Anolis sagrei: one gene and its partner. The protein of the gene in region 1 purifies or fractionates together with the protein of each later gene. This does not show direct contact. Links are inferred from orthologs where the notes say so. Each region holds a gene or a part of one and is shown in the gene's direction. Other genes may lie near its edges.

Region 1 (7,421 bases):
CAAAAGTGGCAGGCTAAGACCCAGAACCTCAATCAATTGCTGATACCAAATCAGAGACTCCCCCTTGGCCACACAGAAAACTGGGCAACTTGGAAGGTACTGAACAGACTGCGCTCTGGCACCACGAGATGCAGAGCCAATCTTAAGAAATGGGGCTAAAAAATGGAATCCACGACATGCAAGCGTGGAGAAGAGCAAATCACAAACCACCTGCTGCAATGCAACCTGATCCTCGCCACATGCACAATGGAGGACCTTCTTATAGCGACACCAGAGGCATTCCAAGTGGCCAGCTACTGGTCAAAAACCATTTAGTAGAATGCCAAGTTTTTATTTCTAAAATTTCATATCTAAAAATGAAAATCCAAAAAGAGCCAGAATATTTCTTACTAGGAATGCTGAACCTGGAGGAAGATGAAAACAAAGAGATTTTGTTTAATTTTCTGGCCACGGCAGCCAGAATTGTATTTGCGAAGAACTGGAGATCAAAAGAGATACCAAAAAGAGAGGAATGGCAGAACGAGGTCCTGGAGATAATAAATATGGATAAATTAACTTACTGGCTATCTTCAAATCAAGGGACACCAAAGAAACAAACAAACTGGGACCCAGTAATGTTTTCAAACTTTGTGTGTTTTTTCTAAAAATACAATACAACTGTTTGGTTCGCTCCTGATTGTTGTTCATTTGTTCAGTCGTTTCCGACTCTTTGTGACTTCATGGACCAGTCCATGCCAGAGCTTCCTGTCGGTCGTCACCATTCCCAGCTCCTTCAAGGTCAATCCAGTTACTTCAAGGATGCCATCCATACATCTTGCCCTTGGTCGGCCCTTCTTCCTTTTTCCTTCCATTTTCCCCAGCATCATTGTCTTCTCTAAGCTTTCCTTTCTTCTCATGATGTGGCCAGAGTACTTTATCTTTGCCTCTGCTATCCTTCCCTCCAATGGGCAGTCAGGCTTTATTTCTTGAAGTATGGACTGGTTGGATCTTCTCGCTGTCCAAGGCACTCTCAGTACTTTCCTCCAGCACCACAGTTCAAAAGCATCTATCTTCCTTCGCTCAGTCTTCTCTGCGGTCCAGCTCTCACATCCATAGGTGACTACGATAAATACAATACCTGATACCTGATACAATAAATAAATATATCCCAAAATAAGAGGCATGAATGGAGGGTGAAAGGAAGAAACATGCCAAGAGGAAGGTGCGTCAAGCCAACCCTGACCGGGACCATCTTCCGTCTGGAAACCCATGTCCTCAATGCGGGAGAACATGCAGATAGGGCTCCACAGCCACCTACAGACCCACCGCCAAGACACTACATCTGGAAGACCATCATCCTCGAGCTACGAGGGATCACCTAAGTAAGTACTATTTATTTATTTATTTATTTCTCACATTTCTATCCTGTCCTTCTCAACCCCCGAAGAGGGACTCAGGACGGTTTACAATGGGCCCCATTCCGAAGCCATTACATAACAAATTACAAAATTAAAACCACAATTAGACATAAAAGCATAATTAATGATACATAAGCCATAGTTGTTGGAAACCGCTTTGAGTCACCAATTGGCTGAGAAAGGCAGTATACAAATACAGTAAATAAATAAATAAATAAATAAATAAATAAAACAGTAAAACAATCTCATCAGCCATATCGTCATTCCAGTCATATTCCCTTAAAGTGCTGCTTGCATCTATTGTCCAAAAGCCAGGTCCCAAAACCATGCCTTTAGTTTCTTTCGAAAAACTAGGAGGGAGGTGGCCGTTCTTACCTCAGTTGGGAGTGTGTTCCATAGGCAGGGGGCCACCGTTGAGAAGGCCCTGTCTCTCGTCCCTGCCAGGTGCATTTGTGCTGTTGATGGGAGCGAGAGCAGGGCCTCCACAGATGATCTTAGGTTTTGAGGTGGGACATAGCGGTGGATGCGTTCGGACAAGTAAGTTGGGCCAGAACCGTATAGAGCTGTATAGGTCAAAACCAGCACTTTGAATTGGGCTTGGAGGTGGACTGGCAGCCAGTGGAGCTGGCACAACAAGGGAGTGGTGTGCTCCCTGTATGTCGCCCCAGTTAGTAGTCTGGCTGCCGACCGTTGAACTAGCTAAAGTTTCCAAACTGTCTTCAAAGGCAGCCCCACGTAGAGCGTGTTGCAGTAATCTATTCGAAATGTAATTAGAGCATGGACCACCGTGGCCAAGTCAGACTTCCCAAGGTACTGGCGCAGCTGGTGCACAAGTCTTAGTTGTGCAAAAGCTCCTCTTAAGTACGTAAGAAAATCTCAGAATAGCAATGCAGAAAATCCCACATTATCTGAGTGTGGACTCAGATAACACAGTTTGAAGCAGATACTGTGGGATTTTCTGCCTTGATTTCTGAGATATAGGGCTGTCTGGAAGGGCCCGGAGTGTCATTTGCTGGGGAATATAAGAAGAAGGGCAGCTCTGTTTTTGTCTCTTGCTGTGGGCTTCCTATAGGCCACTGTTTGGGAACTATGTAAGAACCAGATAGCTCTTTGGTTTGATTAACTTTTATTAAGTACTCAGGAGTAGTACCTTCTACTTGCTGCTGTCTTAGGGGCCTTCCACACAGCCATATAACCCAGTATATTAAAGCAGAAAATCCCACAATATCTGCTTTGAACTGGGTTATCTGAGTCCACACTGCCATATATTCCAGTTCAAAGCAGATGACGTGGAATTTTATTCAGCTGCATGGAATAAAATCACAATTGTGGAATATTGTTCCCAGGGATGCTTAGCTAACATACCGTATTTATTTATTTGTCGTGTCAGGGCAACCAGTCAATGGTATTACATTTCTAACAGAACAAAACAAACAGACAGACCAAATACAAAATTTGCGAGTTTGGTAGTTGATTAAATGTCCTTTGACCAGTATCTGGCCACTTGGAGTGCTTCTGGTGTTGCTGCAAGAAGGTCCTCCATTGTGCATGTGGCAGGGCTCAGGGTGCATTGCAGCAGGTGGTTTGTGATTTGCTCTTCTCCACACTCGCATGTCGTGGATTCCGCCCTGTAGCCCCATTTCTTAAGGTTGGCTCTGCATCTCGTGGTGCCCGAGCACAGTCTGTTCAGCACCTTCCAAGTTGCATAGTCTTCTGTGTGCCCAGGGGGGAGTCTCTCATTTGGTATCAGCCATTGGTTGAGGTTCTGGGTTTGAGCCTGCCACTTTTGGACTCTCGCTTGCTGAGGTGTTCCAGCGAGTGTCTCTGTAGATCTTAGAAAACTATTTCTAGATTTAAGTCGTTGATGTGCTGGCTGATACCCAAACAGGGGATGAGCTGGAGATGTCACTGCCTTGGTCCTTTCACTATTGGCTGCTACTTCCCGGCGGATGTCAGGTGGTGCAATACCGGCTAAGCAGTGTAATTTCTCCAGTGGTGTAGGGCGCAGACACCCCGTGATAATGCGGCATGTCTCAGTAAGAGTCACATCTACTGTTTTATTTGTTTATTTATTTATTTAATTTATTTGTATACCGCTCTTCTCAGCCCTTAGGCGACTCAAAGCGGTTTACAACAATTTAGGTATACACAATACAAAATCAATTAAGCATTTAAAAGCAATAGCATCACAAATCATTAAACATCAGCATCAATACATCACTACATCAATATAACAAATCCATCAGGTCTCATCAATGAAATCAGAATCCAAAACTCGTTATCCATTATTCCGTGTTCCAATAGTCAGTCAATCAATCACACTGTTTTAGTGTGGTGAGATGTGTTCCACACAGGGCATGTGTACTCAGCAGCATAGCACAAGGGCAGATGTCTTTCACTCTGTCTGGTTGTGATCCCCAGGTTGTGCCAGTCAGCTTTCGTATGATATTGTTTCTAGCATCTACTTTTTGCTTTATGTTCAGGCAGTGCTGTATTATAACATAACAAGTCAGAAGTAAGTGTGGGTGGTGATGGACATACCTTTAGGACAGCAGTGTTGGGAAGCAGGTAAACAACCCACCCTGGTGTCTTTTCCCCAATTTAAATCACTGCTTGGATTTCAGGCATTCATGGACCTCCTATTGTGGGATATAGGGCTGTGCGGAGGGGACGTGCCCAGGGGACGCCCGGATGATTTGATGTTTTTACCATCCTTGTGGGAGGCTTCTCTCATGTCCCCGCATGAGGAGCTGGAGCTGATAGAGGGAGCTCATATCCGCCTCTCCCCGGATTCGAACCTGCGACCTGTCGGTCTTCAGTCCTGCCGGCACAGGGGTTTAACCCACTGCGCCACCGGGGGCTCCTAATAGACTTGATGAGGAAGGAGGCGTGGCCAAGGAATCCCCGCCTTCCGGGTTCCCTGGGTGACGTAGGGAGGTGGGGAGGGGAGGGGAGGGGGCCCTCTCGGCGTGATGTCAGGGTGTTTCCCGCTGACGTCCCGTCGCGCATGCGCGGCGATTCCGGGTGACGTCACGGCCGGGGGCGTGACGTGCGGCGGCCGCGGCTGGTGGCCTGGGTCTCTCTTCTCAGTCTTCCTCCTCCTCCCTCTCCTGTTTCCCCCTCGGTGGCCCCGCCCCCCTCTCCAACTACGGGTCGCGGTTGGGGGCGGCCGGGTCGCTCTCGCCGCCCCCCTCCCCCGACTCTTCCCCCTCCTTCTCCGCGCGCTCCAAGATGGCGGCGGTGAGCAGCGACGGAGACGCCGAGGGGGCCTCGCTCTTCAACGGGGACATGGAGGCTGAGCTGCCGCCGCTGCCGCCACTACCGCCGCTGCCGCCGCTCCCGCCTCTGCCCCCGCTGCCGCCCCTACCGCCGCTCCCGCCTCTGCCAGAGGGCTTCTCAGGAGAGGGAAGCGCCGCAGGGGGAGACCCGGCCGTGCCGGAGGAGGTGAGGCCCGCTGGGCTCGGCAACGACGGCAACCGGCCTGGTATCCATCCCGAGGCAGTCCCTTTGCCCTCGCTTTGCTACATTGAGGCCCCGGCTTTGCAAGCGCAGGCCAAAGGAGCTTGGAAGTGCATCTGCTCCAGGCATGGGCCAACTTGGGCCCTGCAGGTGTTTTGGACTTCAACTCCCACCATTCCTAACCGGCTCAGACCCTTTCCTTTCCCCCCTCAGCCGCTTAAGCTGTTAGGAATGGTGGGAGTTGAAGTCCAAAACTCCTGCAGAGGCCAAGTTGGCCCATGCCTCGTGTAGACACATCCAATGTCTTCTGATGGAGATACAATGATAGTCTTGTGAAATTAGGGGAGGGAATTACGGGAAGGCTCAATCCTATGATGCAGCAGCTCACAGGCCCGGATAGCCAGGATTTCATTTCGGGGGGGGGGGGCTGAGTTTCGGGGGGGGGGCTGAGTCTGAGTGAAAGAGGGTCTAGCCTAGCAAACCTTTTGTATCATTACCCCAATACCCCCATGCATATGGGGTATATTGAGCATGGTGATCAGATCATGATATGAATAAACATAACAGTTTAAATAATGCACCAGTTAGGCCTTTTCGCAAACCACCATGAGAATTTCGGGGGGGGGGGGGGGGCTGAAGCCCCTCAAGCCCCCCCCCCCCCCCCCCGCTACATGCCTGGCAACTTGTAAAGCCAATGCAATTCAAGGCTGCATCCATTGGAGTCTAGTGCAGGGGTCCTCAAACTTCTTAAACAGAGGGCCAAATTATAATCCAGCCCCTCAAACTGTTGGAGGGCCGGATTATAATTTGAAAAAAACATGAATGAATTCCTGTGCACACTGCACATATCAGCACAATTCAAGACAAGCTGGAATGTGTCCAGAGGAGGGCGACTAAAATGATCAGAGGTCTGGAGAACAAGCCCTATGAGGAGCAGCTTAAGGAGCTGGGCGTGTTTAGCCTGAAGAAGAGAAGGCTGAGACAGGCATGTAGCAGGGGAGGGGGCTCGGAGGGGCTTCAGCCCCCTCCCCCCTGAAATTCTCATGGTGGTTCGCGAAAAGGCCTTACTGGTGCATTATTTAAACTTATGTTTATTCATATCATGATCTGATCACCATACTCAATATATCCCATATGCATGGGGGTATTGGGGTAATGATACCAAAGGTTTGCTAGGCTAGACCCTCTTTCACTCAGACTCAGCCCCTCCCAAAACTCAGCCCCCCCCCGAAAACCCCCCTGAAAAAAACTCAGCCCCCCCCCCCCCCCAAACGAAATCCTGGCTACGGGCCTGGGCTGAGAGGAGATATGATAGTGATGTATAAATATGTGAGAGGAAGCCACAGGGAGGAGGGAGCAAGCTTGTTTTCTGCTTCCCTGGAGACCAGGACACGAAACAATGGCTTCAAACTACAAGAAAGGAGATTCCATCTGAACATGAGGAAGAACTTCCTGACTGTGAGAGCTGTTCAGCAGTGGAACTCTCTGCCCCGGAGTGTGGCGGAGGCTCCTTCTTTGGAAGCTTTTAAACAGAGGTGGGATGGCCATCTGTCAAGGGTGATTTGAATGCAAAATTACTGCTTCTTGGTTGAACTGGATGGCCCATGAGGTCTTTTCCAACTCTTTGATTCTATGAATCTATCTTATTTTTAGTACAACATACACTTATAATTAAAATGAAGAACAATTTTAACAAATATAAACTTATTAGTATTTCAATGGGAAGTGTGGACTTGCTTTTGACTGATGAGATAGTACTATTGTTGTTTGGTGTTGTTATTGTGTGCTTTCAAGTTGTTTCAGACTTAGGTTGACCCTGAGTGAGGGCTGGGTAAATAACCTTGGAGAGCCGTATCCAGCCCGCGGGCCTTAGTTTGAGGACCCCTGGTCTAGTGTCTTGGTCAAGTGAAGTCATAGACACCCCCCCCCCACACACACACACACATTCTGCTTTGGACAGACAGCTGGAATACTGTGTCAGTCTCTAGACAATACCACAGTTTAAGAAGGATATTGACGAACGGGTCAAAAGTCTGGAAACCAAACCCTCTGAGAAGCAACTTAGGGAGCTGGGTGTATTTAGCTTTGTGAAGAGAAAGCTGGAAGGGGACATGATAGCCTGATTAAATACCTGAAAGGATGTCACGTGGAGGAGAGAGAAAGCATGTTTTCTGCTGCTCCTGAGACTAGGATACAGAGCAGTGGATTCAGATTGCAGGAAAAGTGATTCCATTTCAACTAGTGTGAAGAGAAGGCTGGAAAGGGATCGTGATAGCCAGATTGAATACTGGAAAGGATGTCACATGGAGGAGGGAGAAAGCATGTTTTCTGCTGCTCCTGAGACTAGGATACAGAGCACTGGATTCGGATTGCGGGGAAAATTATTCCACCTTGACCAGTAGTTCCCAACCTTTTTTTGACCAGGGACCACTCTCCAACATTAGTACCAAAAGGGTTACAAATCAGCTTTTGGTCAACTTCAGATTCAGTTTGGTTATTTGGGCTGCGGATTCAGAAAATTGCATTGGATAGACCACATCAGCTCTAGTTTCTGATACAAAACAT
Region 2 (7,073 bases), on another chromosome or scaffold:
AGGTCAAAAATACCCAGAAACAGGTCTAACATTTCAGGCACCAAATGTTTACTAGACAAAAGAAAACATATATGATATATTCTTTGTGCCTTGTCATTCAGTGCAAGTTTCTGACATTCTAATATTACCATGTTAATTAAATAACATATGACCTAGCAAAATGCTCATTGTTTCACCCCATTATCACCTGAAGGCACACCCCAAGATTTTTCCCCCCAAGGAAGATCATTGCTGAGAATTCAAATGAACTCCTGATAAAACTAGTAGTTTGAATACTGCATTGCAAAAACAAACTCCACTTCAGTGCCCTACAATTCAAGCTACTTCAAGGTTGTTTCTGGTGTTATGCTGATTCAGGGCAGAATATTCATGAATGCTTCTTACAACTCACAAGAGCTTGGGGCTTTCTGGTTCATCAAAAAGATGCCGGGGGGGGGGGGGGGGGGTTGGCAGCGGGTGGTGAGTATTCTCTCACACAAGCTGATCCAATAAAGTTATTGACATCAAGTTCAGGACAAACAAAATAAAGTATTTCACACCTGTCAAGGTAATTACTGCAAATTGTGGTTATGGTTGCTAAATTAGATGGGTTTTTAAAGGCCTAGACAGATTATTGGAGGTTGCAGTGATCAACACTTTTAAGTCATGAGACTTAACCTTCCATGACCAGTAGTTGTAAACATCTGAGTACCAGATGCTCTGAATAAACAACAGATTGGGACCTTTGCCTTCCTGCCCTTCTTATGAACCTCTAGCGCACCTGGCAGGTGATTGTTTGAATGTTGGAGTAGATGAAACTTGGTCTGATTCATCAAAACAGTTCTTCTGCACACAGAAGCCTTATGAGAACTGACCTGTAGGCAGCCAACTAAGGTGACCTGTAAGTCTGAAACACACCTTTGGGAATAAAAATAAAGAACTGAAACCTGTCAAGGAAGAAGCAGAATTTGAGTCATAAGTCAGGGCTGAAGTGTCAGAGCTTAGAAAGATATTGCTATAAACAAGCCAGTGGTAAGGGAACCTTTGGTCACCTAAATCTTTTGACATATAGTTCCCAAGGTTTATTACCATTGGTGACGCTGGGTGGGGTGGATGGAAGGCTAAAACATATGAAAGGGAAATGTTTCCCTACATTAGATTTACTGTTTAGACTCAAATATAGACTCATAAGTGATCAACTACGGTATAGTCAAGCTCATATGTAAGTCAACCCCATTTATAAGTTTTTCTTTTAATTTGCATTTGGATGACGAATTTAACTTGGCGAACCACTTTTAATGTATATTTATAACCGTTTTAATGTATATGGTTGTATTTTATGATATGTTTTATATTGTGTTGGCACTGAATGGTTGCCTGTTGAAAGCCATCCTGAGTCCCTCTTCGGAGGTTGAGAAGGACGGGGTATAACTGTTTTAAATAAATACACACATATATAAAACCAACAATTTTTGGAGGCACAGTGAAGTGCCAGCTATGTCTTTATTTTAAAGTCGTTTACATTTTCTAAGCTTTTTAAGGCATGTTATCTGAGCTTTTTCCAATGTGAAAAAATACATTTAAAAGCTTTTAGGCCTCGTGCCATATATTTGAAATGATATGCCTTCAGATGTGATAATTCAACAGGTCATACCCCAAATTACCGCTATCTGACATGAACTATATGTTTTAACAGAGAAAGACTGATGTGTATCAAATAACACAAAGGATATAAAAAATTGTTGCTTTAGAAAATCTGATGCTTGAGTGACATGTTAGTTTAATATTATATTTTGTATTTTATTCAGATAATTTGTTTTACAATTAGATTGTAAAGTTTTATGATTCTTGTCATCCCTTTACATTTGCATATTTGAGATTGTAAGCCACTGACAGAACCCTCCATTTGGGGGTGTTTTCTTGTAAAGTGCCTTGAAAATGGATGGTTACACACACACACACACACAATTATGCTTTTTATGAAAAATGGGTTCAAGATACAATATTCTTAATAATATATATCCATTTAGAAAACAGGTTGAGAGGAGCTCTTAGTTTTACAATTGCCAATTTAAACATATCTAGAAATAGATAAATTTAATCAACCTGTACTACTTGAACAAAAGGTATATCCTGGATTAAGGCCACTGGGATGCTGGCAGCTTTACGGTGAAGGAGACTAAAGGTGGTTAAGAATTATTTTAATGGTACTACTCCTCTACCATAAACTATTGAGCGTACCTAATCTATGCTACTTATCGTTATTCTTTTCTCTCTCTTATCTGTCATTTTACAGTCTTCCCCCTGTTTCTCTGTGTTGTCACAAAAGAGTCCTACAGGCAACCATTGGAAGTGGCCTGGTGTCATGTGATAGCCTCCGTGGGACTCTGTTTCAGTAGCACAAAGAAATTGAGAGAAGACTGAAGGGATTGTGGCACAGCTGGCTGTCAGCTGCATTAAGAGCACTCTGACCAAAAGGTCATGAGTTTGAAGCCAGCCCGGGTTGGAGTGGGCTTCCAACCAATTGTGTAGCCTGTTGTCGACCTTTGCAACCCGAAAGACAGTTGCATCTGTCAAGTAGGAAAATTAGGTACCACCTTGTGTGGGGAGGCTAAATTAACCAATTTATGAGGCCTTAAAAAAGACTCCAGCAAAGCACTCCAGCAAAAGCATGCGAGGAATGCGGAAGTACTTCATCAGTGTCGCAGAAGGACGATGAAAGCGACAGCTCCCCTGGCAGCCAGAAAAAGGTAAATAGCCTCTGTGTATGTCTGTATATGTTGCATGTCAAATTGGCATTGAATGTTTGCCATATATGTGTACACTGTAATCCGCCCTGAGTCCCCTGTGGGGTGAGAAGGGCGGAATATAAATACTGTAAATAAATAAATAAATAAATAAACATGCCCAGCTCCTTAAGCCACTCCTCATAGGGCTTGTTCTCCAAACCCTTGATCATTTGAGTCGCCCTACTCTGCACACAGTCCAGCTTGTCAACATCTCCCTTCAATCGCTGTGCCCAGAATTGGACATTTCAGGTGTGGTCTGACCAAGGCATAATAGAGGGGGAGCATGACTTCCCTGGATCTAGACACTATACTCCTATTTATGCAAGCAAAAATCCCATTGCCTTTTAAGCTGCCGCATGACATTGTGGTCTCATGTTCACCTTCCTGTCCACGAGGACTCCAAGATCTTTTTCACATGTCGAGCCAAACATCCCTCATTCTGTATTGTTGCAGAATGACTATGAGGATGGAGACTGCTTTTAGCCCAGTGGGTCCTCCATCCTTGATAAAACTATAAATCCTTGAGTTTGATTTGTGTATATATTTTATTGGGGGCAGGCTTGTAGCCAGGATTTTGTTTCGGGGGGGGGGGGGGGGTGAGTTTGATTCGGGGGGGGGGGGGTGAGTCTGAGTGAAAGAGGCCCTACCCTAGCAAACCTTTTGTATCATTACCCCAATACCCCCATACATATGGGATATATTGAGCATGGTGATCAGATCATGATATGAATAAACATAACAGTTTAAATAATGTACCAGTAAGGTCTTCTCGCGGACCACCCTGAGAATTTCGGGGGGGGGGGGCTGAAGCCCCCCAAGCCCCCCCCCCTCCCGGCTACATGCCTGATTGGGGGTGGTGGTCTGGTGTCTTTGATGGCTCAGTGCTACATCACCATGGGATCTGGAGCACAGTGAGGCACCAGCACTCTTTGCAGAGAAGGTTGAAGACATTGGCAAACTACAACTCCCAGGAGACCATAACATTACACCATACCAACTAAAGTGGTGTCAAATCGCAGTAATTCTACAGCAAACTTGCACCGTGACCCAACACTCAGGCCGCCTGATACCGTAAGTTTACTTATTTATAAGAATCTCATCATAGCTCTCAGCCGTGAGGATCCATGTCCCTTCCTGGGCCTTGGGGGGGGGGGGGTGGGCGAGTGGGCAGCCCCTCCCTCCCTCCCTCCCTCCCGGAGCCGAAAGGCCAGGCGAATGCTTGGAGCGTTGCCCCGGCAACCCTCTGGCGGCTGCTGCTGCTCCTCCCTCCCTTGAACTCGCCCGTACCGAACGCATCTCACTCAGCATGAGCCGGCCGGCGGCCCGTCGCCGTGATGCATTGTGGGCCTCGGCAATATGGCTGCCTCCTTGTTGAGTTGCTGAGGCGAGTTTGGCTCTCCGGGACGTTTCCCTCCCGTTCTCCTCACCCGGCAGCCCGGGGCTTTTGTCCAGGGAGAGGAGCCGCCACCTGCCCGCGGCGGGGATGGCGATGCGGCGGACGGGACCCCCATCGCAGGAGCAGCAGCAGCAGGAGGAGGAACGGCCGGGCAGCGAGCAGGCACCGCCTCGGGGGTAGGAGCGTGCTCCCCTCGCCGGCCCACGCCAGAGAGAGAGGCCTCCCGGCAAGGAGAGCTTGCCCGCCGCCGCCTGGACCGGACTGGGCCTGGTCGAGGGTGGGCGTGGTCTTCTCAGCCAGGAGAAGCGAGCCAGGCCTGGAGCACAGAGGCGCCAAGCAGCCCCGGTCCCTGCCAGCTCTGCCGCTCCTCGTCGTCCTTTGGCCAGGGCCTGTCTCTGCAGTTCCCCCATCGTCGCTCCGGTTGTGGCGCCCCGGACCTCCTTCCCATTGGACCCAGAAGCACCACCCGTTTCTGCAAGCATCCCCCTAAGAGCACCCCACAAAAGGGCCCTTAACAGGGACACGCTCCCAGCAACAGCTTCCCCTTTTCACTTGAAAGGAGGCTTCTGGTGTGACTCTGCAGCTGAGTATCCTCACTTCACCTGTCCTCCCTTGGCCACAATTTCCCAGTGTCACTCCTCCTGACCTGCTGTCATCCTGCTTTTATACTTTGTTCCTTCCTTGCAGTGGTTGGAGTTCTTTACTAGAATCACATTCTTCTGCCTAAAATACTTGTAGGCCCATCTTGATGAACTAAGCAGTCTCTATTGTGGAACATTGTTTTCGTGATTTGAAATGACTTTTATGTTTTGTTTAGATTGAGAGGCATTTCGCAATTGCACACCCTATTTGAGAAAGTGAGTGGGAGAAAGAACCTCCATGCACATCTGTGACTTGATTCTTCAGCTAGACAGTGATCATCCATTTCCTGCAAGATAGTTGTCTCTTGTATCGTGATTGCATTACTCACCAAGCTTGCTTCTTCCAAACTGGAAAGCCCCCCCCCCCCCCCCCGCTGCTGAAAAGAGAATATTTCTACACACTTTAACAAACAACAGCATTTGAACAAGACACCTTTCCCTGAAGCGTCACCTGGAACTGCAGTTGAGAGGTTCCCTTGCTCTCCTAATAGCTTTTTTGCTCATACTTTGTTGATCCTTGACTTTTGATCATTGGTTCCCTTGGTTCTTTCTCCTCTCATGGAGTCAGATATGTTGCAGTCTCCCCTACTGGGGCTTGGGGAGGAAGATGAATCAGACATGACTGACTGGAATCTGCCTTTGGCCTTCATGAAGAAGCGGCACTGTGAGAAGATTGAAGGCTCCAAATCACTGGCTCAGAGTTGGCGGATGAAAGACAGGGTAATGATCTCTAGTTACAGTTTTTGTTTGGGAGAAAGAAAAGATTTGCATGTTCTGTTCAACTAGATTCTACACACTTTTTCTGTAGGTCTTGTACATTCCTGGTTGAATTCTATTAATTTATTTTGTGTTGAACACTCAATAAATGTAGCCAACACTGCATGCTAACACGGCACCAAATCACTAGGTTTAAATAATTTGCTTTTTCTTCTTTGAAAATGAATTAATTCTAAGTTAATTAAAATGAGGTCTTAACATTTACTTGGCAAGTATCTGGATGGAGATTGCTTCATGTGGAAGTGTCATGTACAGATTTGTTCTATTAGTGAATTTAAAGTTCTATTTCCTTAACCATGTGTCACATGGGACATTTCATTTTTAATGAAGCTAAAAATGAGAGTGACAACATTTATGAAAATTATACACAACAAAATTTATTTATACAATGGTGTTGTTCTGGTTGTTTTAGAAATGGAAATCCACAAGAAATTATAGAATCTCTGTTCCAGACTCAATTATTTCTCCTGCTAACTTTTTGCAGGAAAGATTATACAGTCAAATTGCTGTTGTTAGGCATTCTAGAATTATTTGTTAATTATTATGTTGCCTTTGAGGAAGTTTAGATAATCAGCGAATGAAGACATTTCTGAGAGAGATAGCTAGTGGGAAAACTTATCAGTCAAATCAACTCCTAAAGTATTCCCTTATATTGATTTACAAAAGTAGGGTTTATGTTTAACAGCAGTATGGAACTTATCTTTATAGCAAGTGAAAAAATTAACCAAAATAACTTGGAATGTTGCCTCATTTGAAATGTGTCTGAATATACAGCTGTCTGTGACCCTGATTACATGGTTTGTTTCACAGCATCAGTATGTAAATAAATCAGTACTAGTCTCACAGTGCTAAAAAGAGATATTTTCTTCCTTGCTCATTCACTGTGGTAAAGTGCTGTTCTGGTACAGCTGCTGTGGAAACTGTATAAGTGCTGGGAGAAGCTTTTCTATGGCATCTCTTTTCTATGCATATGAAGTCGTAATATGGAAATGAATAGTGATTTAGAACTTCTAAAGCTTCTTGAATGCATCTTGTGGTCTGTCAGAACCTACTTTTTCTGTAACACAAGAAGTAGGATTTATGGGTTTTGGGAGTATCCAAGACAACTTAGTGCTGTAAGCAGGATATATGACTTTTTGTTTAATGGTTTATTGTAGATGTTATTTATAAAATTGTATATTATAAATGGTAGTGTAACTGTTTTTTTTATTTTAAAAACAGTAATTAGATATTGCTAAACTTAAAACAAATGTTTGTGGCTAACATGCCGAAGTTCATTTTAATGTGATTGTAAAGGAGCTTAGCCTTCTCTGAGTTCATCCATACTTTCTTACTTGCCCCTTTCATTCCAGTCAGGAAGGCTTCTAGAAGCTTTTTGTTTGGAATGAGTTGTGCCCCAAATGTTAATGATGATTAGATTCTAAAAAGCTGACCAAATACTGTTTTTTGAAATAAATTCTTATATTAAGCATGGCGAATATTCATTTCAGT

What was found.
Region 2: the proteins of BRAF (region 1) and RPTOR purify together in Homo sapiens (affinity purification with mass spectrometry; 3 studies listed by BioGRID and IntAct, with this or other methods). This does not show direct contact. The link is inferred for Anolis sagrei from reciprocal best matches to the Homo sapiens genes BRAF and RPTOR.

Annotation. Positions count from the first base shown.
Region 1 is NC_090025.1:173,530,081-173,537,501, reverse strand, and holds the start of BRAF (serine/threonine-protein kinase B-raf), read left to right. Parts: upstream 1-4,414; 5' UTR 4,415-4,628; coding exon 4,629-4,841; intron 4,842-7,421. UniProt on the Homo sapiens protein: Protein kinase involved in the transduction of mitogenic signals from the cell membrane to the nucleus. Phosphorylates MAP2K1, and thereby activates the MAP kinase signal transduction pathway. Phosphorylates PFKFB2.
Region 2 is NC_090022.1:130,447,424-130,454,496, forward strand, and holds the start of RPTOR (regulatory-associated protein of mTOR), read left to right. Parts: upstream 1-4,069; 5' UTR 4,070-5,363; coding exon 5,364-5,525; intron 5,526-7,073. UniProt on the Homo sapiens protein: Component of the mechanistic target of rapamycin complex 1 (mTORC1), an evolutionarily conserved central nutrient sensor that stimulates anabolic reactions and macromolecule biosynthesis to promote cellular biomass generation and growth.